Linked DNA regions of Saccharomyces cerevisiae S288C. The gene in region 4 interacts genetically with the main gene of each other region. Each region holds a gene or a part of one and is shown on either strand. Other genes may lie near its edges.

Region 1 (9,386 bases), on a different chromosome or scaffold from region 4:
GCCAATAACCCTAAAATAGAGGATACAAGCCCTCCCTCTGCCAATTCGAGAGATAATAGCAAACCTGTACTTCCGTGGGATTACAAGAATAAAGCCATAGAGATCAAGAGCTTCAGTGGTTATAAGGTAAATTTCACCGGCTGGATAAGAAGAGACGTAAGAGAAGAACGTCAAAGGGGAAGCGAGTTTACTGCATCTGACGTTAAAGGATCAGATGACAAAGCTACAAGGAAAAAAGAACCAGCAGATGAGGATCCTGAAGTAAAACAACTTGAAAAAGAAGGAGAGGATGGACTGGACTCATAAGGTAATGTCAACAGCTTAAAGTTGTTCTCAGGGCCCCACACTTTCTAGTTTGGCACGTCATTTATGAAATTCACAAATTGGTTACATTAAGTACTAAATCTGGTAGCCGACCAAAAAAGAACAACAAATATACAATTGTATGAGTAAATATGCAATATAAATCAAATGTATTTAGTTAAAGGGCCAGAAGTAAGGCTACAGACTGTAAAAGAAAATTAGATGGAAACCCTCTTCAGGAAAAAAGGACATTATAAAAGATACAGCCAAGAAGTGGGCGTTTATAAAACAATTATATAACATGACCGTCGATTATATTCTGACAGGAATGGCGACGATTGCATCGTTATATTTCATTTCATTCCCAACTCAACGATACTGGTATCAAAAAGCCTCTCTGTTCATTATTTGTCCCACTACAAGCGACTCTCTTATTTTTGGCGGTCTCTGCCAGCTTAAGAAAAAGCGGTTACCAAACGACACTAAAAGAAGCGGCGCGTCTGGTTCATTAGAAATTTGTCAGTAATGCTGTCAATCTTTGTGTAAAAAGTCTTTCCATCAGTTGCCACCCCTTTTGTAGCAACTTCCATGCGTAGAACAACCTCACATTCATTATTTTTTTTACCCTTCTCTTTTAATTGTTCAATTGCGAACAGACCATCCAAAGATTCGAAAGAAAGACTGAGGTGCTCCGCATAAAATCTTTATAAACTTTAGAAGTAAATGGTTTCGTTCAGAGGGCTGACTACACTAACACTACTTTTTACCAAATTAGTAAACTGTAATCCTGTTTCCACAAAAAATAGGGACTCTATACAGTTTATTTATAAAGAAAAGGATAGTATATACTCTGCCATCAACAATCAAGCCATCAATGAAAAAATTCATGGAGTCAATTTGGGTGGGTGGCTAGTATTGGAGCCGTATATTACACCTTCTTTATTCGAGACTTTCCGTACTAATCCGTACAACGATGACGGTATTCCTGTTGATGAATACCATTTTTGTGAAAAATTAGGCTATGAAAAGGCAAAGGAACGCCTTTATAGTCATTGGTCGACGTTCTATAAAGAGGAAGACTTCGCGAAAATTGCTTCTCAAGGCTTCAATTTGGTTAGAATTCCTATTGGGTATTGGGCCTTTACAACGTTGAGTCATGATCCCTATGTTACCGCCGAGCAGGAATATTTTCTAGACCGGGCTATCGATTGGGCTAGGAAATATGGTTTGAAAGTATGGATTGATCTTCATGGAGCCGCTGGTTCACAAAACGGATTTGATAACTCAGGGTTGAGGGATTCATATAAGTTTCTGGAAGATGAAAATTTAAGCGCCACCATGAAAGCTTTAACGTATATTTTAAGCAAATACTCAACAGACGTATACCTGGACACCGTTATTGGAATCGAATTGCTCAATGAACCGTTAGGTCCAGTTATTGACATGGAAAGATTGAAAAATTTGCTTTTGAAGCCGGCTTATGACTATTTGAGAAATAAAATTAATAGCAACCAGATCATTGTAATACATGATGCTTTTCAACCTTACCATTATTGGGATGGGTTTTTGAATGATGAAAAGAACGAATATGGCGTCATAATTGACCATCATCATTATCAGGTGTTCTCGCAGGTGGAATTAACAAGAAAAATGAATGAACGTATCAAAATCGCCTGCCAATGGGGGAAAGATGCCGTAAGCGAGAAGCATTGGTCCGTAGCAGGCGAATTTTCAGCGGCCTTAACAGATTGTACAAAGTGGTTAAATGGGGTTGGTCTAGGTGCCAGATATGATGGAAGTTGGACCAAAGACAATGAAAAATCTCATTACATAAATACGTGTGCAAACAACGAGAATATTGCCTTGTGGCCCGAAGAGAGAAAACAGAACACTAGAAAGTTTATCGAGGCTCAATTAGATGCTTTTGAAATGACTGGTGGATGGATAATGTGGTGTTACAAGACAGAGAATAGTATCGAATGGGATGTTGAAAAATTGATTCAACTCAACATTTTTCCGCAACCTATCAACGATAGGAAATATCCTAACCAATGTCATTGAAATTTTGTGGCATATATTTAAGGTCTTGGGAATGTGATGATTATTATTGGAGAAAAAATTGCCATCTAAAACTCTTTATATAACATGATGAGGTATACAAATAAAAAATACTTTATATCTTATAATTATGCAAATAAAAGTGCTTCCATCAACCGCTACTTCACTTTTTATCTGAACTATGAATGGGGAGCTCATGATGATTACCTGTTGATATTACGTGAGGCGGAAGAGAAGCACGAGACACGGGTCACTCTCGATATTACCGGACAGTTTACTTAGACTATGTAACGAATATGAGAGGAAGAAAAACAATAAATAAATACAAACCTCTCCGCAGTTTTATGAAAGAACAGGACAGGGCGTCTATACCGATTTTTACATCTATCTTTTGAGTGCTTGAAAGGAGACGCTGGACTATATCTTTAGGTTAAACATCTGTCAAATGGCAGCAGTACCCACCATCGACCTTACACTAGCCGATTCAGATAATGAAGACATATTCCATTCTTTTTCGTCTTCAACAAGTGTGGATAAGATAGACATTAGGAAAGAAAATGGGAAATTAAGAATGGCAGGCTTGGAAGTCGCCCAATCTAATGACGATGCAGCACGTCAAGCATTCCATGTTTTCAAGACGAACATATCAAATAATGAAACCTTCGATACTATTCTTTCAAAGAGCAAGACAATCACAGACAGTACCTTCAACAATGAAAAATCTTCCAACGAAGTAAAACAGCAGCAAGTCTTGAAGGAAGAAACGATGGGATCTTCCAACGATGAGAAGAAAACACAAGAGAGCAGCCCAAGCGCAGAGATGATAAAACTTTTTTATGAAAACGATGATGTGCCGTTATCCGATAGTTTTAAACAAAAAGAGGAAGGTAAAAGAATAAATCAGGATGAGCAAGTGAAGGAAAATATCTGTGGCATTTCTTCCTCATACGTCTCCAAAGACTACGATGGCGTTGAAGATGATTTCGAGCCTAATACTTGCCAGGACAGCAATTTGGATTTTCAAGAGGAGAAGTTAAACTTGAATAACAAACCGTCACAGCAACAGTTCAGCGACCCAGAAACAAAAGATAACAGTTTGAAGAGCGAAAACAAAGACCAAATAAAAGGAGTCACAACAACAAGTTATCGTGATTTACCTATTGAATCTAGTGCTTTCCAGGATTCTGAAACTCAAAATAACTCCAAAAACACTATACCTAACATCGTAAATGAAAAGCGAACGCCAGCATTACCGTCCAATCTAAGCTCTGTTGAGAGTTCCCTTAAAAACGAGACGGCCAAAGTAGAGGGGAAGACGACCGTTCGTCTTCCAGGACTTCAAAATAATGTTGCCTTACTTGAGCAAGAACAAAGTGAACTATTCAAGCACTTTAGTGAACAACCTGTCGATATTAGCGATTTTGGTCGTAAGATTAAAAGGAAGCATAGCGGAGATTTTGCAGATAACAAGATACTTAAAAGACCGATATTGCCCTCAAAAAATATGGACCACACAACACATAATTCACATGATTCCGAACAGAAAAATAGCTCGATTATTATTCTTTCAGATGAGGACGAATCTGGTGCCGGTATCAATGATATAGAAAGTCCTTTGAAAGTTTCTGAACCAAATACAGCTGATGCGCTTAGGAGCAGTGTACCAGAAGTCATATCTTTACTTGACCTACCCAATATTGACTTGAATAACTCAGTAATAAAAGAAGCAAGTGGCAGCAATTCAATTCCTACATCAGAAACAGACGCACAATCCTCGAGTTCGTCAGTTCTTCAAGGAACTATCATGACAGAACAAGCTACTCAATCCTCTCAACACGAATGTAACAGTTCACTTGATACTCTAAAAAAAAATCATCAAAAATTATTGAAGGATTTGAATTCTAGAGAGTCTGAACTACGTAATGCTCTCAGTTGCTGCAAGACAAACTCTGAAATTTTAAGAAGGAAACTAAGTAGAAGAGAAAAGGAGGTCTCTGATGCTGAAAAACATTGGCAGTTATTGTTGACATCGATGGCTAGAGGGGGAAGAACTATCAGCTCAACTCAGCAGATATTAGTTGATGAAGCTGAGAACCAATTAAACAAACTGAAGGAAAAAAGACAGTTGACAAAATCGAAGCTAGATTCAATCAATTTGAAAATGTATAATTATAACGAACAATGGAAGTCCTTTGTGCATTCGAAAAATATAAACCTGCAGAAATCTTTGGCTGCCCTTGAGCGGTCAGCCAGGGATAGTAAAGCTTCTGCGACCGTAAATAAAAGAAACGAATGCCTGGCTGAGAAAGAAAAGCTAGACCAAATGTTAAAAGAAGGAACCCTAAGCTTCAGTACCTACAAGCAGTTAACAGGGGAGATCCAGCAGAAACTGAATGACTTGAAACTGGGGGACCAACGCACAACTGATATCAATAGTGTATTGCCAATAGTACGGCAACCTCTCGCCAAAAGAGATTTATTTATTAAGTCCATTGATACTGCAAAAGATTTATTAGCCAAGAACACATCCAGGACAGAAATGACGAAGAGAATTCTTTATAGACATTTGGACAACTTGGTCTCTTATAAAAACTTTTTTGAAGACGGAAGATCCTTAATAGATATAAACAGAAGACACGTTGCACATGAATCGGCCCAAATATTGTTCACCAACGGTGTAAAGATGCCCATTGTTTTTGAAACATTACAAGATTACGGCATCAAGTTTTCTAATCCAGCCATTGTCAATCCTGACAGAAGAGCCCAATATTTTAAAAGCATCGAAGTTGCACGCGATCTCATATCAAAGTCTACTAGATCAGAGGATGCTAAACGAAAGATTACTCGATTTTTGAATATAATTGAAGAATTTCGTAAAGATATTGACACCGGATTTCCACCTACTCCTTTAAAAAGGGAAGGCGTCGGAAAAGCTGTTGTTGGGCTAAGACAACAAGGACTTAAGATGGACAGACTATATGAAAATTTGAGAAGATATAAGATTCCAATAACAAGTGAAGAATTACTGCAGCAAAGCTATTTATTTCCGGTAAACGCAGATCAACGACCTCCTTCAAACTGGAACATCGTGGAAAATACCGAAGATACTAGTTCTACAGCCAATGATCTATCGATGCAAGATGAATTTCACATCTCTAATATGCATGCAGCAGAAGATCAAGAACAGATTAGGGCTCTTTTAGAGAATGTCAAACAATCTGAATCCATTATAGACGGCGAAGCACTTACTCCCGAGGATATGACCGTAAACTTATTAAAACACCAGAGGCTGGGTCTGCATTGGTTGTTACAAGTTGAAAACTCCGCAAAAAAAGGGGGTCTGCTTGCTGACGATATGGGCCTGGGTAAAACGATTCAAGCTATTGCATTGATGTTAGCAAATCGCTCAGAGGAATCCAAATGTAAAACCAATTTGATCGTCGCACCAGTCTCAGTCTTGAGAGTTTGGAAAGGTGAATTAGAAACGAAAGTAAAAAAACGCGCAAAATTTACTACATTTATTTTTGGAGGATCAGGTAACGGAAAAGTTAAGCACTGGAGGGATTTGGCAAGATATGATGCTGTTTTGGTATCTTATCAAACTCTAGCAAACGAATTTAAGAAACATTGGCCGAAAAAACTGGATGGTGAACAAAATCAGCTACCAGCTGTGCCTCATATACAAGCTCTTAATAGGTTGAAAACCTCAAATGAATACTACTCTCCATTTTTCTGCAATGATTCAACGTTTTACAGAATTTTACTGGACGAAGGCCAAAACATCAAGAACAAAAATACAAGGGCTTCTAAAGCGTGCTGTACTATAAATGGAATGTATAGGTGGGTCTTGTCTGGTACGCCGATTCAAAATAGTATGGATGAGCTTTATTCCTTGATAAGATTTCTAAGAATTCCACCCTACCACAAGGAGCAACGGTTTAAATTAGACATTGGAAGGTTTTTTCAGAGAAATAAGCAATATCAATATGATAACGAGGATAGAAAAAACGCATTAAGAAAGGTTAGAGTCCTTCTAAATGCCATTATGCTTCGTCGGTCTAAGGCTGATAAGATCGACGGCAAACCTTTACTGGAGCTCCCTCCTAAAATTGTGGAAGTAGATGAATCACGCCTGAAGGGAGAGGAATTAAAATTTTACACAGCTTTGGAATCAAAAAATCAAGCACTCGCTAAGAAATTGTTGAACAATTCTACGAGGGGGAGCTACTCTAGCGTTCTCACATTACTACTTCGCTTAAGGCAGGCTTGTTGTCATTCAGAATTAGTTGTGATGGGAGAAAAAAAAGCGGAAGGTACAAAGGTAGCTAACGGCAAAAGCTTTGAAGATGACTGGCTCAGGCTCTACTATAAAATCACTCACATGAGCGGAGAAGCGCAGGCTCAGGTTATTACTTCAATGAATTCTATGACATGTTTCTGGTGCATGGAACAATTAGAACCAGAAGCGATGTCCGTTCTGACAGGTTGTGGTCATTTGATTTGCGACACTTGTATCGAGCCCTTCATCGAAGAGTCATCCATGCTACCTCAGGCCAAGAAAACCAAAGGTGGGGCATTTGCTATCCCATGCAAAGATTGTCAACGTTTGACAAACGAGAAAGATATTGTTTCGCACAAGTTATACGACCAGGTAATAAACCAGGGATTTACTGAGGAAGATTTGCATGCAGAGTATTTAAGTGAAATGGAGAAACAAAAAATACAGCAAAAAAATGTATATGTGCCAAATTTTGAGAGTTTAGAACCATCTACGAAGATAGAGCAATGTATACAGGTTATTCAAAGAGTTTTTGATGAATCAGCAACCGAAAAAATTATTATTTTTTCCCAGTTTACAACATTTTTTGAGATTCTCGAACATTTTCTCAAAAATAAACTGAATTTTCCCTACTTGAAATATATTGGATCAATGAACGCTCAGAGAAGATCAGATGTTATCAACGAATTTTATCGTGACCCTGAGAAAAGGATACTTCTGATTTCCATGAAAGCCGGTAACTCAGGACTAACATTGACATGTGCGAACCATGTAGTTATAGTTGATCCATTTTGGAATCCTTACGTCGAAGAACAAGCTCAAGACCGTTGCTATAGAATTAGTCAAACAAAAAAAGTCCAGGTGCATAAATTGTTTATAAAGGACTCTGTTGAGGATCGTATTTCTGAATTACAGAAGAGAAAGAAGGAAATGGTCGATTCTGCCATGGACCCAGGCAAGATAAAGGAAGTGAATAGTTTAGGGCGTCGGGAGTTAGGATTTTTATTTGGTTTAAACGCTCTTTGAAGAACTTGGTGAATTTTGAAGCATTATTGCGATACACATATGTATATGTTGATAATTGGTGGCTAAGCTTCTAGTTTGTAGGCTTAAGTAACTTCACTCGTTGGCACTTACGAGCTTGGCATTTAATGGAACAGAAAATAAGCCGTAAATCGGCCCTACTTTAAGTATAAGAAATATGCGAAATTTGATATGATCGTTTGAATTACTTTTTGAAAAAGAAAATACCATTAGTAACATACAATATAAGAAGCTCGTCTCCTGGATTTGGAAATCCACAAAAGATTATCAACAATGCCACGAATAACATAATTGCTTCCCCCTCCTGTTAATTGCTTTAACTCATTATTGCATCGTTAACAGTTGTTACTAAATTTGATTTTTGTTTCTCATCATATATGTAATCTTCAAACGCCAGTATAATTATACGCTCGCAACAGCTACCATACATTAATGAACCGATGAAAATATCCCGTTTGATGATAACTGGCAATTAAATGACAGTATTAATTAATAATCAAAGCTGATCTTATATTCCTATAAAAGAGAAGCGTATAAAACACACGTGGATTGGGGGTGCTTTATACGTAAACTGTGATTTCAGTAATTTTCGCTGTAAGATCAAAGTAAAGACACATTCCCTTATATGTAAAGTTCAAATTCATTGTTCCACTAATAGACCGTCAACTTTTCTTTTGGATTTTCAGCCCGAACAGGTTGCTTATTATTAACTTCCTTACAACAAGGTACAGTCAGTGCATTATATAGATCTATACAACCATGTGCCTTTGTGTTTTCTAAGGCTATACTGAAAATAAATTGGTAATTTATAATTTCTATCTTCACGCGCTTTCTCACTAACAAGACTTGACCTCTCAAATAAGTGGCGCAGATGCTCTAGAAAAGGTTTCTTATCAAATAAGTTTTGCTCTTTAATCGCACAATGCAATGCAAGTTATTTTTTTTTTTTTGATTTAATGACTTTCGATTTCCTCTCATAGGCAACCGGTACTTATCATAAGTACGTAATAAGAAAAGTATGTCGCAGGACGTCATAAGCTCAGACTTGAACAAAAGAGTAACAAAATCGCCTCCACCTAATTTTCAGCCCTACTAGAGCCTGATAGGATATCGGCACTGAAGCTGATAAGAGAATCAATGAAAATATCATCCTCAACAGAAATACTGAAAAGAAGCGGTAGTTTTTTTTTCTTGTTACAATTATCAGCCAAACAAAAACAGTGATCTGAATCGTCAATCAAACATTAGTGGAAGAATGAAATAATCGAAATGACCTCTATATCCTGTACGACCAACAAGCTTAATAGTAGTGTTTCCTGGGACTAAAGAGTGTGTTTAATTATCTCGAATTTTAATACTAGCGAAAGATCTTGAATGAACACTAAGTATGATCATTTTATTAGGTTTTTTGCTCATTAGGCAATTTGTTTTTCACTGGAAGTAGAGGATTCCTTTTCATTATCTTTCTGATGAACAATTTCAAACACTTTTGTGTTTTCTGAACTAGTTTTTGTCAACTCAGGTAGTTCATCATCGGAGCTCTCAGGTTTGTATTCGTGTCCACTTGTGAAGCATTCGCCTAATGTGTAAGCACGGATTTCTTCTTCAGAAATTTCACTGTATGGAACCATGCCCTTCTTCCTTGCTTCTTCGTCGGTAAACGCACCGTAGTAATCTTTGTCATCATGTTTGACAGTAATTT
Region 2 (5,876 bases), on a different chromosome or scaffold from region 4:
AGTATGGTGACGTCTTTACTTTTAAAAATATTTTTAACAGTTGAAGGAGCTCCCCGTGTACATCTTGCCAGATCTTCAAGAGAAATGTCACCAAATAAATTATGAAATTAAAGTACAGCGGTAGTGATAAAAACGATCATCAAGTAGTGCCATCCGATATTTCGTGTCAATTTCCAAGCTCATGATTTATGACATACAGGATTTTCAAGAATATTAAATCTTGTTCCTGAGGAATTTTTGATAAATCCAATAAATAGTAAATAATAAGAAAAAAGACAGAACAACAACGTTTTGGTGGGAGAAAGGCCACTTCTCTGACCAGACTAGAGTACTAATATTTACGACAAATATACTGAGACCGTGACCAATGGTAGAAGGTGATTGGCTTGAAAGAAATGCCAACATTAAAGCACATATCACTGCTCTTGATATCAGTAGAGTTGCAAAAAAATTATACTACTAAAATCAGCTCAACGGCAAGAAGTTACTAAGCACAGCAGAAATTCTGGAGCTAAAGAGAATAATATACATACAAGACTGACTGAAAACTCTGTTTTCCACATGCAGTGGACTCAAAATATTCAGTTGAAGAAGCAAGCACAAAATTGGATCAACCCGTCGCGTCGCGGCCGCTGCTGCAGGCGACAAATCCACTGGCAAATTGTACGCGGCCTCGTTACTCCTACTTGAAAACAGAAGTAACAACAACAAATTCAAGTTTCTACGAAATGGGTCTCATGACGACAAGGTGCGCCCCCCTATCTACCTTGTTGTAAGTCTGGGACCTGGGGCTAATTTCTCATCCCCGGAAACAAAAGTATACAACTACGTGGCTAAAAATTTTTTAGTATGCAGCACATAGGATGCCAAGGAGCAATTTTTAACCCTGGCAATCTGAGCTACTGAACGGCCGCCTCAGGACTCATAGTTCTCTATATATAATTTCTCCATGTTTCTCCTTGTGCCTGGTGGAAAATATCAAGTAGTTGCCGCGACATAAAATGAATGCCTCGTAGACACCGCGAAGCCGGAATGAAGGCGGACACTACGGCACCGCCTCAAACCCAACGGCCGAGAGCGAGTTCATCTCCCTCATAGATGCGAACGGCATTGGCACTGACGCCATCATTGTAGAACATATAGACAAGATTAAAATGCGTAATCACATCATGAATGGGAAGTTAGGTGCGGTCCACTACCCTGGGGGCCTCACTGGGGACGTCATCACCCCCAAAGCACCTCAATAAGTCCATAAATAAATATATAAAAATTACTGAATAATAATAAAAAAAATAAATTAGTTCAGTCTAAAGAAATGGAAGCAAAAACCTCAAAAAAAAAATTTTTTTACGAAGACTATGCTTCCAAGACTGACGTCTTAGAGGCATAGTCGAGAAGAAAAGGAATTACTGGCACAGAACGACAAGAAATATCGTGTCGGCGCCAAGGCATCTATGTAACTACGTCTTGTGATCACCGGTATAGCTGGGACTATTCCGTTTCATCATATGATCTGGCCGTCTGCGCTTGTACATTCTGGGCGCCAGGCGTAAATGACCAGAGTAATGTCTTGCTGTAGTCGTCCGTCGCCACAGAAGCGCGTGGACGCATGATCGCGCGCAGCGACCGGTCGGTTCGCAAGACGGTTGGCAATAGGAGTTTCCTGCTGACCGCCTTATTAATTTATATGAAAGAGGAGAATTTGTCATCGGGCTTTCGAATGAAATAAAACAGCTCCTTTAAGTAATGGAACTGGAAGAAGGAAGAGAATAAACGACAGAATTTTCGTGCTCGGAGCGAACACCGCGCCGGGTTACGAACAACAGTGGCCACTACTATAATAGTTATGGAGTAGACGTCAGAATATATAGCGCAGGCGTCAGAGTATAGCGCGGGCGTCAGGATATAGTGTGCCAATGTAGCGTGGTTGCATGCAGCTAGCTTTTTAGTTGAGTCAGACCTGCTCCAAAAAAAGAGGAACACAACTTTCGTCAGCATGTGTTGCTACCGCTATTTGTTCTTCGGGGAAAAAAATTTGCATTCGCTATTGTAGTTTTAATTTTCCTTCTCTATTCTCATAAATAGAGTTAAAATCTTATAAACTCCAGAATTATCAAGAACAATTACCTATATTATTTCCTATTGCAGAATTTATATTATTCTTTATTGTACTGATATCCCCATTATAACTATCAAAAAAAGGACTTCAGCACCTGTATCATCATGAGCTTCAGTAGTATAGTCTCTAAGTTTTTGAGATATTTAGAAATTCCTGCCAAAAATAGGACTGCCGTGAATTTTCTGAGGAACCCTGATTTGCAACCTATCAAGTCTGCAAATCAAACATGGGGGTTCTGGTCTAATTTGGCGTACTGGGGCGCTGTGTCCTTTACAGCAGGTACATGGATGAGTGGTTCTGCTGCACTAAGTGTCGGCCTAAGTTACCCAGAGACCATTGTTTCGTTTCTTCTCGGTAATGTCTTGACCATTATTTTCACTATGGCCAACTCTTACCCCGGTTATGATTGGAAAATCGGTTTCACCTTGGCCCAAAGATTCGTTTTTGGCATTTACGGTTCAGCCTTCGGTATCATCATTAGAATTTTGATGAGTATTGTCAATTATGGTTCCAACGCTTGGTTGGGTGGTCTATCTATCAACATGATATTAGATTCCTGGTCCCACCACTATCTGCACCTGCCCAATACTTTGTCCCCAAGTGTTGCCATGACCACCAAGCAGTTGGTCGGCTTCATTATTTTCCACGTCCTCACCGCGCTCTGCTATTTCATGAAACCCTACCATATGAACTACCTTTTAATTTGGTCATGTGTAGCTACTTGCTTTGCCATGCTGGGTATAGTGATTTACTTGACTAAGAATGCCCATGGTGTCGGTGAATTGTTTACCTCCACAAAATCTACCGTTACTGGTTCTAAAAGAGCATGGGCTTGGGTTTACATGATTTCATACTGGTTCGGTTCCATTTCTCCAGGTTCCACCAACCAAAGTGACTATTCAAGATTCGGTTCCTCCAATTTGGCTATCTGGACCGGTAGCGTCTGTGCATTACTAATCCCAGCAACCTTGGTCCCAATCTTCGGTGTCATTAGTGCCTCCACCTGCGACAAATTATACGGTAAACAATTTTGGATGCCCATGGATATATTCGATTATTGGTTGACAAACAACTATTCTGCAGGCGCTCGCGCAGGTGCCTTCTTCTGTGGTCTTTGCTTTACCATGTCTCAAATGTCCTCCACCATCTCCAACTGTGGGTTTGCCACTGGTATGGATATGGCCGGTTTGTTGCCCAAATACGTCGATATCAAGAGAGGTGCTCTTTTTTGCGCATGTATCTCCTGGGCTTGTTTGCCATGGAACTTCTACAACTCTTCTTCTACTTTCTTAACTGTCATGAGTTCTTTCGGTGTTGTCATGACTCCTATTATTGCTGTCATGATCTGTGATAACTTTCTGATCAGGAAGAGGCAATATTCCATTACTAATGCCTTTATTCTAAAGGGTGAATACTATTTTACCAAGGGTGTCAACTGGAGAGCTATCGTTGCCTGGGTGTGTGGTATGGCTCCCGGTCTACCTGGTATCGCTTGGGAAGTCAACAATAACTATTTCCACGACTCAGGTATTGTTAAATTCTTTTATGGTGATTCTTTCTTCTCCTTTTTGATTTCTTTTTTCGTTTACTGGGGGCTATGTGTCTTCTTCCCATTCAAAATTACTGTTAGACATGATGACAAAGATTACTATGGTGCATTTACCGACGAAGAAGCGAGAAAGAAGGGCATGATTCCATACAGTGAAATTTCTGAGGAAGAAATCCGTGCTTACACGTTAGGCGAATGCTACACAACTGGACACGAATACAAACCTGAGAGTTCTGATAACGAATCACCTGAATTGATCAAAACTAGCTCAGAAAACACTAACGTATTTGAAATCGTTCACCAAAAGGATGATGAAAAGCACTCCTTTAGTACCACTCAACAAGTTGTCTGATGACAAAGAATCCGATAAAATGAAGATCTCAAATATACAAAGAGGAAACTTCAACGCTTCATTTGAAAATCTGTACAGATCTTACAATTTGGGAATACTACCAGATCGATCCTCAGCTGCAAATACTTTACTGTCAAGTATGTCTATGGTGACAAATATCGGCATTATTGTGTATGGCTCAATAATTTTATAAAAAAAGGAACTATTGGTTCTTAGTATTTTCTTGCTAGAAGACATATTCTTACCAATCCTTTCATAAGCTAATTATGCCATCCATATAGCAAGAGAATCCGGTGGGGGCGCCATGCCTATCCGGCGGCAACATTATTACTCTGGTATACGGGCGTAACTCCATAATATGCCACCACTTACCTTTAACATGTTCATGGTAGGTACCCCACCCAGCCATAAGGAAATTTTCAAAGGCGTTGGATCAAAAAATAGGCCTTTATTTCATCGCGTGATTGAGGAGCATAACATGTTTAGTGAAGGTTTCTTTTGGAAAACTTCAGTCGCTCATTATTAGAACCAGGGAGGTCCAGGCTTTGCTGGTGGGAGAGAAAGCTTATGAAGCTGGGGTTGCAGATTTGTCGATTGGTCGCCAGTACACAGTTTTAAAAAGTCAGAGAATGTAGAGAAGTATGGATCTTTGAAACCCTTTTATTTTATTTTACTTTTTTTAGAATGACCTGTTCCCGACACTATGTAAGATCTAGCTTTTAACATATTATGGAAACCTGAAATGTAAAATCTGAATTTTTGTATATGTGTTTATATTTGGGTAGTTCTTTTGAGGAAAGCATGCATAGACTTGCTGTACGAACTTTATGTGACTTGTAGTGACGCTGTTTCATGAGACTTTAGCCCTTTGAACATATTATCATATCTCAGCTTGAAATACTATAGATTTACTTTTGCAGCCATTTCTTGGTGCTCCAAGGTTGTGCGTATCTATTACTTAATTTCTGTCCTTGCCAAGTTTTGCAGCAGGGCGGTCACAAGACTCCTCTGCCGTCATTCCTTAGTCCTTCGGGAACACACTTATTTATGTATTTGTATTCTACAATTCTACGGTGCACAAGGGTTGGGCACTGTTGAGCTCAGCACGCAACTATTGCTGGCATGAAGATAAGATTGATTTTTGGAAGAATAAGCTTGTGGAAGTTACCTGTCTCTTATTTTTTTTTCCTTTTTGCACTTTTTTTTGGTGATCACTTAGGTAACAATCTATAACACAGCAGTATGAACCCACTAGTTAACCATTCTGCGCCGATGGTATACCTTTTTCATTGCTTAATTGTCTGTGAGAGGCTTGATAAGCTAAGGCTCATGGCGATAAATCCACGATGAACTCGTTTAATGCAAAATATAGGTCGCGGCTTGCCGGGTACCAAGTCGCAACAAAGCTCCCCGAATTGTTTCGCCCATTCATCTGACAGGACAGAATGCCAAACATATGATGCATGATGCAGCAAAGAGCACAGTAATCACTATTTTCTGCATATCATATAGCCAGATTGCTATAGTGTTTGGCTTTTGTCCTGCTGTTAATTGTTTTGTTTTCTTTCTATTTTTATAACTATTATTGGAGAGTAGATCAAGGATACAAATAACAACAACAACCACCAATACCGACCACTTAATAAAAGTAACCATATAATGGGTGTGAGATCCGCTGCAAAGGAAATGCACGAACGGGACCATAATTCGGACAGTTCCAGTTTAGTAACTTCCCTGATGAAATCTTGGAGGATATCGTCGGCTTCTTCCTCCAAGAAGCCATCGTTATACAAAATGAATACTACTGAATCTACTAGTTTACCCTCGGGTTATGCTTCCTCGGCAGATAGAGATCG
Region 3 (5,464 bases), on a different chromosome or scaffold from region 4:
AAGCTATCAATAATGATCACAAGTCCAATGGCAGAGAAGGAAATTGCAAGCAGGAAAATGTTCCTTCAGCTAGAGGCCTTTCTGAAAATAAACGGATTCGCCATAAAAAATGAAGACTTGAAGAAAATTGTCGAACATTCAAAGGGAAATCCTATTTTACTTGTAAAGAACCTTTTTACTTATTTTCGTAGGAGAAATGAAGTTTTCAAGCTCGGAACCGTTGTATTGCAGGAAATATTGAAAATCATCGGAATGAATCTTAAGCAGAGATACGGCTCTATATTAGGGTTTTCTTCCCAAGATGGTGAAGGACAAGAAATAGAAAAATTTTGGAACAACGACACAAGTCCGATTGTTCCTCTTCAGGAGCTTCCTGAACCAAACTTTTTCCGCAAGGCCGCATTTTGAACCGTATTTTGCTCGTTCCAGCCTTTCCACGTTTTTGTTATCTAAGCAACTTGGCACATTTCCCTACTATACTACAAACCGATACGTAAATACTTCCCTAAATAGCATATGAATTATTCAGTAATTTTTAAGGATCGAAACTGCACCTCAACTATTCGTTACTGTGGTTATGTTCTCATGTATTGATGCAAATCATGGGATATTTGCTCAAGACGACGGTAAAATGAGCAAAAATGGCACGATCCTGAAAAGAGCACTTTTCAAGATTCGGGCTACAAAATGCAACATAAAAAATGTTGTATTGTCATCTCGAGAGGGTCTTGTATGTTTTATTCCTCTTATGATTAGTTCACATTAGTAAAACAGATACGCAGTGTGCTCTTAATAAACAACTACTCCATAGCTTTATTTGCATAACAAAACTTTTAAGCACAAACTTAAACAGGTGGAGTAATAGTTCGGCGGCGACTCAAATTACATTTGTTGGAAGAATCGAATAGAAAATAAAAAAAAGTGTATTATATTTGACATTCAAAATGGAAGGTATGAATATGGGTAGCAGCATGAATATGGACGCCATGTCTAGTGCATCCAAGACAGTAGCATCGAGTATGGCGTCGATGAGCATGGATGCGATGTCTAGTGCCAGCAAAACGATATTATCGAGCATGTCATCGATGAGCATGGAAGCGATGTCCAGTGCGAGCAAAACGTTGGCGTCGACTATGTCGTCAATGGCAAGTATGTCGATGGGAAGCAGTTCAATGTCAGGTATGTCTATGTCGATGAGCAGTACACCAACAAGCTCCGCCAGTGCACAGACAACTTCTGATTCTAGCATGTCAGGCATGTCAGGTATGTCATCGTCTGATAACAGTAGCTCTTCAGGGATGGATATGGACATGAGTATGGGAATGAACTATTATCTGACTCCCACATATAAAAACTATCCAGTTTTGTTTCACCATTTGCATGCAAACAATAGTGGTAAGGCTTTCGGTATTTTCTTATTATTTGTTGTGGCTGCTTTCGTCTACAAACTACTGCTTTTCGTTAGTTGGTGCCTTGAAGTTCACTGGTTTAAAAAATGGGACAAGCAAAATAAATATTCCACTTTACCTTCAGCAAACTCCAAAGACGAAGGAAAACATTATGACACAGAGAATAATTTTGAAATTCAAGGTTTACCTAAGCTGCCAAATTTATTAAGCGATATATTTGTTCCATCTTTAATGGATCTCTTTCATGACATTATAAGGGCGTTCTTAGTATTTACCTCTACGATGATTATTTATATGTTGATGCTTGCTACCATGTCTTTTGTTTTAACATACGTTTTTGCTGTAATTACTGGGTTAGCTTTATCGGAAGTCTTCTTCAATAGATGCAAAATAGCCATGCTAAAGAGGTGGGACATCCAAAGAGAAATTCAGAAAGCGAAGAGCTGTCCTGGCTTCGGTAACTGCCAATGTGGTAGACATCCCGAACCCAGCCCTGATCCAATTGCTGTTGCCGATACCACTTCCGGAAGTGATCAAAGTACTCGCCTGGAAAAGAACAACGAATCTAAAGTTGCGATTTCCGAAAATAATCAAAAGAAAACACCTACACAAGAAGAGGGATGTAATTGTGCCACAGACTCAGGAAAGAATCAAGCAAACATAGAGCGCGACATCCTTGAGAATTCCAAGTTGCAGGAACAGTCCGGGAATATGGATCAAAACTTACTTCCGGCCGAAAAATTCACTCATAACTAATAACTAGACAAGGTTCGTCCACCTATATCTTCTTCTTCCAATATCTCTATACATCAAAATAAGAATATCGTTCATTTCTCAGAAGCTCAAAAAAAATCTCAAAATGGATACTTCTAATGCCCTCATGAAGAGGAAAGAAAATAATAGACACAGCGACCTTCCTATAAATAACAGACTTGTATATAGTTGAATGTCTAAGTAATTTTAATTCAAAAATCCTTAACTATATTACCACCTTGCAATAATAAGAGTGAAGTGTTAAAAATGATACTTGCTTGCCTTCATCGAGTTACCGTTGTCTCCCACGTTTCTTTTTTCTCGTTGGACAGAATTGCTTCCGCGCGAACATTTTCCACTTTTATTTGAAAGAGGACATTATTCAGATCGTGTCAGTCTCATCTAATTGGCAAAGTGGCAATTTTCGAAATAACAAGATAACTGCATAAAGTAACACTTGTCGAATTGAAAGTATTTTGCCAGTGATATTTAGGTTCGAGTAAAGAAAATTTCATAAAGAAATCAACAAGACACAATGCTGAAATACAGGTCTTTGCCAATCAAGAGAGCAATCCATCATCCGGCACCAGGAATTACTCCAATTTCTCCCCGTATTATGGTAAGCAGGTTGAGAGTAATACCATCTTTTAATTTGAAGTTCAATCGTTGGAACTCTTCGGTGCCAGAAAGCTCGAAAAAGGAGTTAAAAACGACAGACGGAAACCAAGAAAGTGCGAGTAAGGTCTCTCCAGTAAAAGAGAAGGAAAAAGTACCCTTTAAGGTTAAGATGCAAAAAGCCCTTCGTCATTATTGGGATGGTTCCAAACTTTTGGGGTTGGAGATAAAAATTTCTTCCAAATTGCTCATGAAGAGTGCTGCAGGCTACCCATTGACGAGAAGAGAAAATTTACAACTGAAAAGAACTACTCAAGATATCGTTCGGTTGGTTCCATTTGCTGCTTTCCTCATTATACCCTTTGCTGAACTTCTTCTTCCATTTGCATTAAAGTTATTCCCCAATTTACTTCCTTCTACTTATGAATCAAGTAAAAAACGCGAGAATAAACTAGAAAATTTAAGAAACACAAGGAAGTTAATGTCTGAAATCATAAAGAATAACAAGTCCCATTTTAAACCTAATAATATTTCCGAGGAACAAAAAGCTTTGTTTAACAGGTTCTACACACATGTCCGTGCTACAGGAGTGCCGGAGTCTCGTCAACAGCTAATCGAAGTAGCTAGATTATTCACTGATGATACTGTATTGGATAATGTGACAAGACCTTACTTGATTGCATTAGCGAAGTATATGAATTTGCAACCATTCGGCACTGATGTGATGCTACGTTACCGTATCAGATACAAAATGCTTGAATTGAAAAAAGATGATCTATCTATATATTACGAGGATGCAGAACAACTCTCCCTCTCTGAATTGAAAACAGCATGCGCCTCCAGAGGTATTAGAAGTGTAGACGTAGAGCCTAGCGTGTTATATTCGAATCTAAGATTGTGGCTGAACATGAGGCTCAAGGATAAGATCCCATCCACGCTGTTAATCATGGCTACTGCCTATAACTACGGTAATGTGCAATCAAAGGAGTCATTGTACGACGCATTATGTGACGTTTTAATCGGTATCCCTGATGAACTATACCATGAGGTTAAAGTAAACGTCGTTAAGGAAGATGAGGCATCCGCTAAGCAAAAATTGAAACAATTGAGGGAGCAAGAAGAAATTATGAAGGAAGAAGAGCAGCAAGAAGAGAACGCCATTGTGAGCGTCAAGGATGAGTTGAGCTTGGACGACCAAGACAAGAACATAGATGCGGCTGCTCCAGACGTAAAACCGCATGACACCAAGCCTATCGGAGAAGCCGCTGCCATCAAAGAGAAGTAACCCAGTTTTCACCTGGCCCATTAAACCGCACGATACACTCTCCGCTACTCTCGCCAACATTCTTTTTATACATACTTGCACGAAACTGCTTTTTTAGCAATGAAAAGAAAATGTAGTGAACTCTACTATAGATTTTGTACATAAGATAAATAAAATACACTACTATATGAAATTTTTGTTTGTAAAGCTGGTGTTTGCACACATAGATAGTATCAACGTAGGGGATCAACACATGCACGACTACTAGAAGCCTTACCCGTAACTTCTTGCATATCTGCTTTGCCAATATTTTTTTTTAAAGTTATTTCTTAAACTACTCCTCGTGCTGTCCACATTTTTACCCGTTAGTTGTTAGACAAAAAAAAAGCGCAACTATCTCCCTTTTGCGCATCTCCCAAGTCCTTTACCAAATATATTAGAAGAATGACACCCGGCCGAGACGGATGAAGCGGCCGTCTCGGCCGCCTTAGGAAGGGATCTGCGTTTTTGTTCGTTAATGAGGTAATCAAGGGCGTACTTGGTAGAACGGTACTAAGTTAATCATTGCTGCTCTCCCTCAAAATTACTCAAAGAATAGAGTGTCTATTGAACCGTAGAATAGGCATTTATTATATAAGGGGTTGTCAATTTACCAAATTTTTTACTTCATCTCAGGACTCTCTCTTAAAATTATTTTCCTTGCCATTTTCTATGTTATGTAGAATAGAAAAACAGGTACATATTAACTAAAATATACACCAAAAAAAGTAAAAATAAAATGTCTGTCGCCGATTTGAAAAACAACATCCACAAGTTAGATACTGGCTATGGTTTAATGAGTTTGACTTGGAGAGCCGAGCCTATCCCTCAGTCGCAGGCTTTCGAGGCCATGCACAGAGTGGTTGAGTTATCCAGAGAACGTGGGCACAAGGCCTTTTTCAACGTTGGTGAATTCTATGGTCCCGATTTTATTAATTTGTCGTATGTTCACGACTTCTTTGCGAAATACCCAGATTTGAGAAAGGATGTGGTTATCAGTTGTAAAGGTGGTGCAGACAATGCTACCTTAACCCCCAGAGGCAGTCACGATGATGTTGTACAAAGCGTAAAGAATTCAGTTAGTGCTATTGGTGGCTACATCGACATCTTCGAAGTCGCAAGAATCGACACTTCCCTATGCACGAAAGGAGAGGTCTACCCCTACGAATCGTTCGAAGCGCTTGCTGAGATGATCTCCGAAGGCGTTATTGGCGGTATTTCATTAAGTGAAGTTAATGAAGAGCAAATTAGAGCTATTCACAAGGATTGGGGAAAGTTTTTGACCTGCGTTGAAGTGGAACTTTCTTTGTTCAGTAATGACATTTTACACAACGGAATTGCTAAAACATGTGCTGAATTGGGGTTGTCCATCATCTGCTACTCC
Region 4 (4,557 bases):
TTAGCAAGCGCTTCTTGCTCTTCTTTTTTTAATCTCTCAGCTGTTTCTTGTTCTCTTTGTTTTCTCTGTATTTCCAATAGTTCTCTCTCTTTTTTTAGGCGTTGCTCTTCTTCGAATTGCCGTTGACGTTTCAACTCCATTTGCTTTTTAGCCTCCAGTTCCATTTGACGTTTTCGTTCCTCTTCTTCGAGTTGTCGTTGGTGTTCCAATTCCATTTGCCTTTTCCTCTCCTCCTGCTTTATTCTTCTTTCCTCTTCTAATCTTTTCATCTCATTTTCCTTTTGTAACTGAAGTCTTTTTTGCTCTTCTAATCGTCTCAGTTCAGCCTCTTCTTGTTGCTGTTGTTGCTCTAACTCGTATCTTTTATTCACTTCATTCAATGTCGAATTGGAAGAATAGGGGGCCTTATTTAGAGATTTCATTCCTGCATGATATTCCACGCTTGCAGGCGTTGACACTGGATTAACGCTTTCTGTTTCAGACCTTCTTGTCCTCTCAGTAGGTGCTGAAAAGGGGACAGAGCCCACCGATTGGGTAGTGTTTGTCGTGAAATTACTTGTAGGTGACTTTATTGGAGATACGGAACCGGGGCGATTTGTGATGACTGCTCTTTGATAACTCCTCTCGTCAAGATAAAAAAGGGATAAATCCCAATTGACCAATTCAGGGACATGACCTTCGAATGTTTGAATGTATAGAGTAATTAGAGATTTAATGAAAACAGTTCTTTCCTTCGCAGAATTCGTTTCCCAGTAGTATTTTTTACTCATGGTAAGAATGAAGCCTTCAGATATCTCCAGGTCCTTCTCTACTCTTACTAGTTCGGTCAACTGCCAAGTTCTACCAATTTGAAAAGAGCCGTCTGAGTTTTCTCTTGCTTTATGAATTTGTATTAGCTTGGCATTGTTGGGCTTGGCACTCAAAATAAGGAGTCTTTTCTTTTTGTTCTCCAATTTTGAATCTGGAGGAGGTCTTGAACTAGGGAATTTTGAATCTTCTATAATCCGGACATGTGTAATATAATTATTCGGCGGTTCACCTGTCTTATGGTCGGGTCTGGAAAAGCAGCAATTAATTATGGCTTTCCTATCCCTTTCATATTGTTCGGCTAAAAAATTCGAAGTTTGAGAGGAATTTGAAGCTCTCGACACGTTTCTCTTATGCGAATAATTTCCACCAGAAACAGGTGGTGCGGAAGAGGGTACTGCACCTTGACTGACGTTTCTAGAATGGTGAGCACTGCTACCGGATATTGTTCTCTTGTGGAAAAACGATGTGTTTTCATCGTGTGATGTCTCACGACTGTGAGACTTCCTTTTAAAAGGAGACTTCGAGGACCTCATAATATAGAATAAATTGCGTAGCCTTGTTACCTAGCTGGAGATATCTGGCACCGACTCAGTCTTTATGACCGCTTTTTCTTCATAAGCTATGATACTGTTATTGCTATAAGTGTTCACCAAGTTAGTATTTGCCCATTAATACCGGGTGACATAGTCCCACAAGCGTGGTTCTCAAAAAGCAACGAAAAATTTTCTGACTTGGCAAGGTGAGACTTAGGCTGATAAGTAAGTACTTTTTAGTTTTTAGTGTACAATACCCCCTAAGGAACCCAGGTTTTAATACTATTATCTTTATAATGTCTCTCGACTTTAACACTTTGGCCCAAAACTTCACCCAGTTTTACTATAATCAATTTGATACCGATAGAAGCCAATTGGGTAACTTGTACAGAAATGAATCTATGCTAACATTCGAGACTAGTCAATTGCAAGGTGCAAAGGACATTGTTGAGAAATTAGTATCTTTGCCATTTCAAAAGGTCCAACATCGTATCACTACTTTGGATGCGCAACCTGCTTCCCCAAATGGCGATGTCTTAGTCATGATCACTGGTGATCTGTTGATTGACGAAGAACAAAATCCACAGCGTTTCTCTCAAGTGTTCCATTTGATTCCTGATGGAAACTCTTACTACGTGTTTAACGATATCTTCCGTTTGAATTACTCTGCTTAAGGATTTTTTAAGTCACCACAGAAACATGTATTTTCATTTTCGAATATTGTTTAGCATAATTGAAGATGCTTAGCTAACGATGTATAAGGCGATAGCGATAAAGAAGATATATATATATATATATGTATGAAGATAGCGTTTTTAAATGTATTTCTTTAATACTGATCTTCGATCATTTTGAGCTTGTTTGGCGGGAATACCATTCTTAATATCTTCAGAGACAAGTAAATCCACTTCAATTGACTTTTCGATATAGGTAACTAATTTTGAAATGTCAGTCTCTTGAACAGGAATGCGTACTATTCCATTATTGTCACCTGCAATATAATCACCAGGACATATTGTTTGGGTTACGCCATCACTCGTTAAGATTTTCAACTGTACGTTAGTGCCTACGGCTTTAACGACAGCCTTTGGAGCGCAAGATCCAACACCGTAAGCAAAAACGGGATGGTTTAAAGTCCGGTGTTCATCCACATCTCTTATGCGTCCAAAGACTACTGTCCCATTCGATTTCAAATATTGTGCTCTGGTACTCATCAGCCCCCCGTACATCGCTTGCGTAATTTTAATAAATGGGTGGAACTGACTTTGCAAATGGGGCTCCAGTGCGAGGACGAGTATTGAGTTGGGAGGGACAGAGTCTATATAGTTCACGGCAGGTCTTGGATCATCAATGGGTGCAAACAGTACTGTGTATGCAGTGCCTACTATGGAGCTATTTTGCGGTGGAGAAATTGCTGTTAGATTAGGGAAATAACCACCCGTTGGAATGTTATAAACATTCAACAATCCGTCCGAAATATCACAGGTTGAGAACCTCTGTAACTTTTGAAGATCTGACATTGCGGACGGCGGTTTCTACTTATACTGTTAATTTTTTTAAAAGTTGGTTTAGTTTATGGAAAGCCATACAGTTCAAGTTTTTTCGCGCTAAGTAAGGTGATCACTTTTTTTTATCGTTCTTATCACTTCCAGCTGTAATACATCATAGAGATTAATGAATGAGCAACGTTTGACTCACATACAGACCTAAGTGGCGGAAATTATTATTGGCAAAATAGCTGGGCTTGCAGTTTTCCTGATTATTTGGGTAAGCTGATGGTATTCTCCAAACGCGGTGGGCAAGATCTCAGATTATCTGCTCCTTATCGACTGCTTTTTATTTCTATAAATGAGCTTGTATACACATGTATAGTTTGTATTTGGATTATTTATACTTTTACGGATTATGTTCGTATTGTTTGTATTTCATTCCCTAATTTTCCTTTACAGATATAATTTCATGATTAAATTTCAAGGCAAAATATAAAATTATTCAGAAATAGCTTCATCACACAGTGTCTAGCGAAAATATTTGTTAAAATGCTTAACCCAAAGTGTCATTCTCGACAGTGAACCTTTCCTAAAAACTTACAATTGTTATTACAAAGTTCTTCGGGGGATAACAGTCATGGAGTTACAGCAATGATACCTTATGCGGCTAAGTTTTCTTTATTTGCACATAAAGGGTGCCTTCAACATTACTAGACTGCGTGGTGTTGTTCAATTCAAACTGGAGACATAGACTACGAAAATCTTTTAGTCAAATTTACAAGGGCGAGTAGCTTTTAATTGTGCCTTCATGTGCCAAGTAAATTGCGTACAAAAAGTGTCAAGAGATTTTCTCATTCCCTACATTTGCCAGTTCTATAGGCACCTTCTTGCGCATATACATATCTACAAATATCCCGGCTTATTTCCAGTATTACTATGTTTTACTCTTAATTCAAATAAGCACTGCTATTATTACTTTTGATCACGTCAAAAGATACAAAAGACAATCTACAAGTTTATGGCCTTGCATTGTTTATAATTTATGTGCTATCTGAGCATACCCGCCTTTTCTCTATTGTTATTCGAGAGAAGACTAAAAATATCTGCTGCAAGAACAAAAATGGGAACTGCTTGTCTCTTAAAATTATCAATCCACAATGGAAATAGACTTTTTTTACACAGCAACGGTTTTTGAATGCTATGAAACGGTCATTATCAGCTAACACGCTCAACACTTTACTCCATCTTCTTAAAGGGTGTAAACAGAACGATAAATGATTTCCATAAATAGTAAGGCCCAGCCGACAGCCTGCAGCGCAAAAGTGAACCGTTTCCATCTAACTTGGATAATCTGCATTGTTCCCAACGAATGACAGAATCCATCGCCAGATCTAATAAGGTTCAATTTTCTCTATACGACGGCTATAAAAGGAAGTTTTCCGAGCGCGCTTCGAAGCAGAATAGGGAGGACCCCAGACCCGTTTTAGTGCCTGTCCCTTTTTAGTACGTGTTTCCGTTTCCGTGCCTGGCTAGATCCATCTTTCTTCGCGCGTTTATTTTCAGCACCATGTTTTAGGTTTTTACAGCATCGTTTAAGGAACCCAACAATACAATAGCGGGAAGAATGCACTTTCTCGTTCCATAAAGGGTCTCTTTCACCTATACGGTTGGTACAGATTTCCAGTGTATGCCAGTCAGCCACGGCATTACGTCGTTTGCTTCTA

The links.
Region 1: mutations in NTF2 (region 4) and ULS1 together harm fitness more than expected from each alone (negative genetic interaction), as found in Saccharomyces cerevisiae (one large-scale study listed by BioGRID).
Region 2: mutations in NTF2 (region 4) and NRT1 together harm fitness less than expected from each alone (positive genetic interaction), as found in Saccharomyces cerevisiae (one large-scale study listed by BioGRID).
Region 3: mutations in NTF2 (region 4) and YLH47 together harm fitness more than expected from each alone (negative genetic interaction), as found in Saccharomyces cerevisiae (one large-scale study listed by BioGRID).

What each region holds. Positions count from the first base shown.
Region 1 is NC_001147.6:689,669-699,054, forward strand, and holds ULS1 (translocase ULS1), read left to right. Parts: upstream 1-2,806; coding exon 2,807-7,666; downstream 7,667-9,386. Other genes in the region: IES4 (Ies4p), read left to right, coding at 1-306; SPR1 (glucan 1,3-beta-glucosidase), read left to right, coding at 1,027-2,364; THI72 (thiamine transporter), read right to left, coding at 9,100-9,386. UniProt on the Saccharomyces cerevisiae protein: ATP-dependent helicase involved mating type switching and in silencing interference through its interaction with the silencing regulator SIR4. Cooperates with UBC4 and UBC5 to mediate ubiquitination of SUMO conjugates.
Region 2 is NC_001147.6:457,624-463,499, reverse strand, and holds NRT1 (nicotinamide riboside transporter), read left to right. Parts: upstream 1-2,223; coding exon 2,224-4,020; downstream 4,021-5,876. Other genes in the region: YOR072W (uncharacterized protein), read right to left, coding at 1,684-1,998; GTPase-activating protein GYP1, read left to right, coding at 5,680-5,876. UniProt on the Saccharomyces cerevisiae protein: High-affinity pH-dependent nicotinamide riboside transporter which also transports thiamine with low affinity. Involved in 5-fluorocytosine sensitivity.
Region 3 is NC_001148.4:785,264-790,727, forward strand, and holds YLH47 (Ylh47p), read left to right. Parts: upstream 1-2,697; coding exon 2,698-4,062; downstream 4,063-5,464. Other genes in the region: AXL1 (Axl1p), read left to right, coding at 1-408; high-affinity Cu transporter CTR1, read left to right, coding at 945-2,165; YPR127W (pyridoxine 4-dehydrogenase), read left to right, coding at 4,820-5,464. UniProt on the Saccharomyces cerevisiae protein: Involved in mitochondrial potassium homeostasis through the mitochondrial K(+)/H(+) exchange regulation.
Region 4 is NC_001137.3:170,476-175,032, forward strand, and holds NTF2 (Ran GTPase-binding protein NTF2), read left to right. Parts: upstream 1-1,639; coding exon 1,640-2,017; downstream 2,018-4,557. Other genes in the region: GTP-Rho binding exocyst subunit SEC3, read right to left, coding at 1-1,343; YER010C (bifunctional 4-hydroxy-4-methyl-2-oxoglutarate aldolase/oxaloacetate decarboxylase), read right to left, coding at 2,159-2,863. UniProt on the Saccharomyces cerevisiae protein: Facilitates protein transport into the nucleus. Interacts with various nucleoporins and with Ran-GDP. Could be part of a multicomponent system of cytosolic factors that assemble at the pore complex during nuclear import.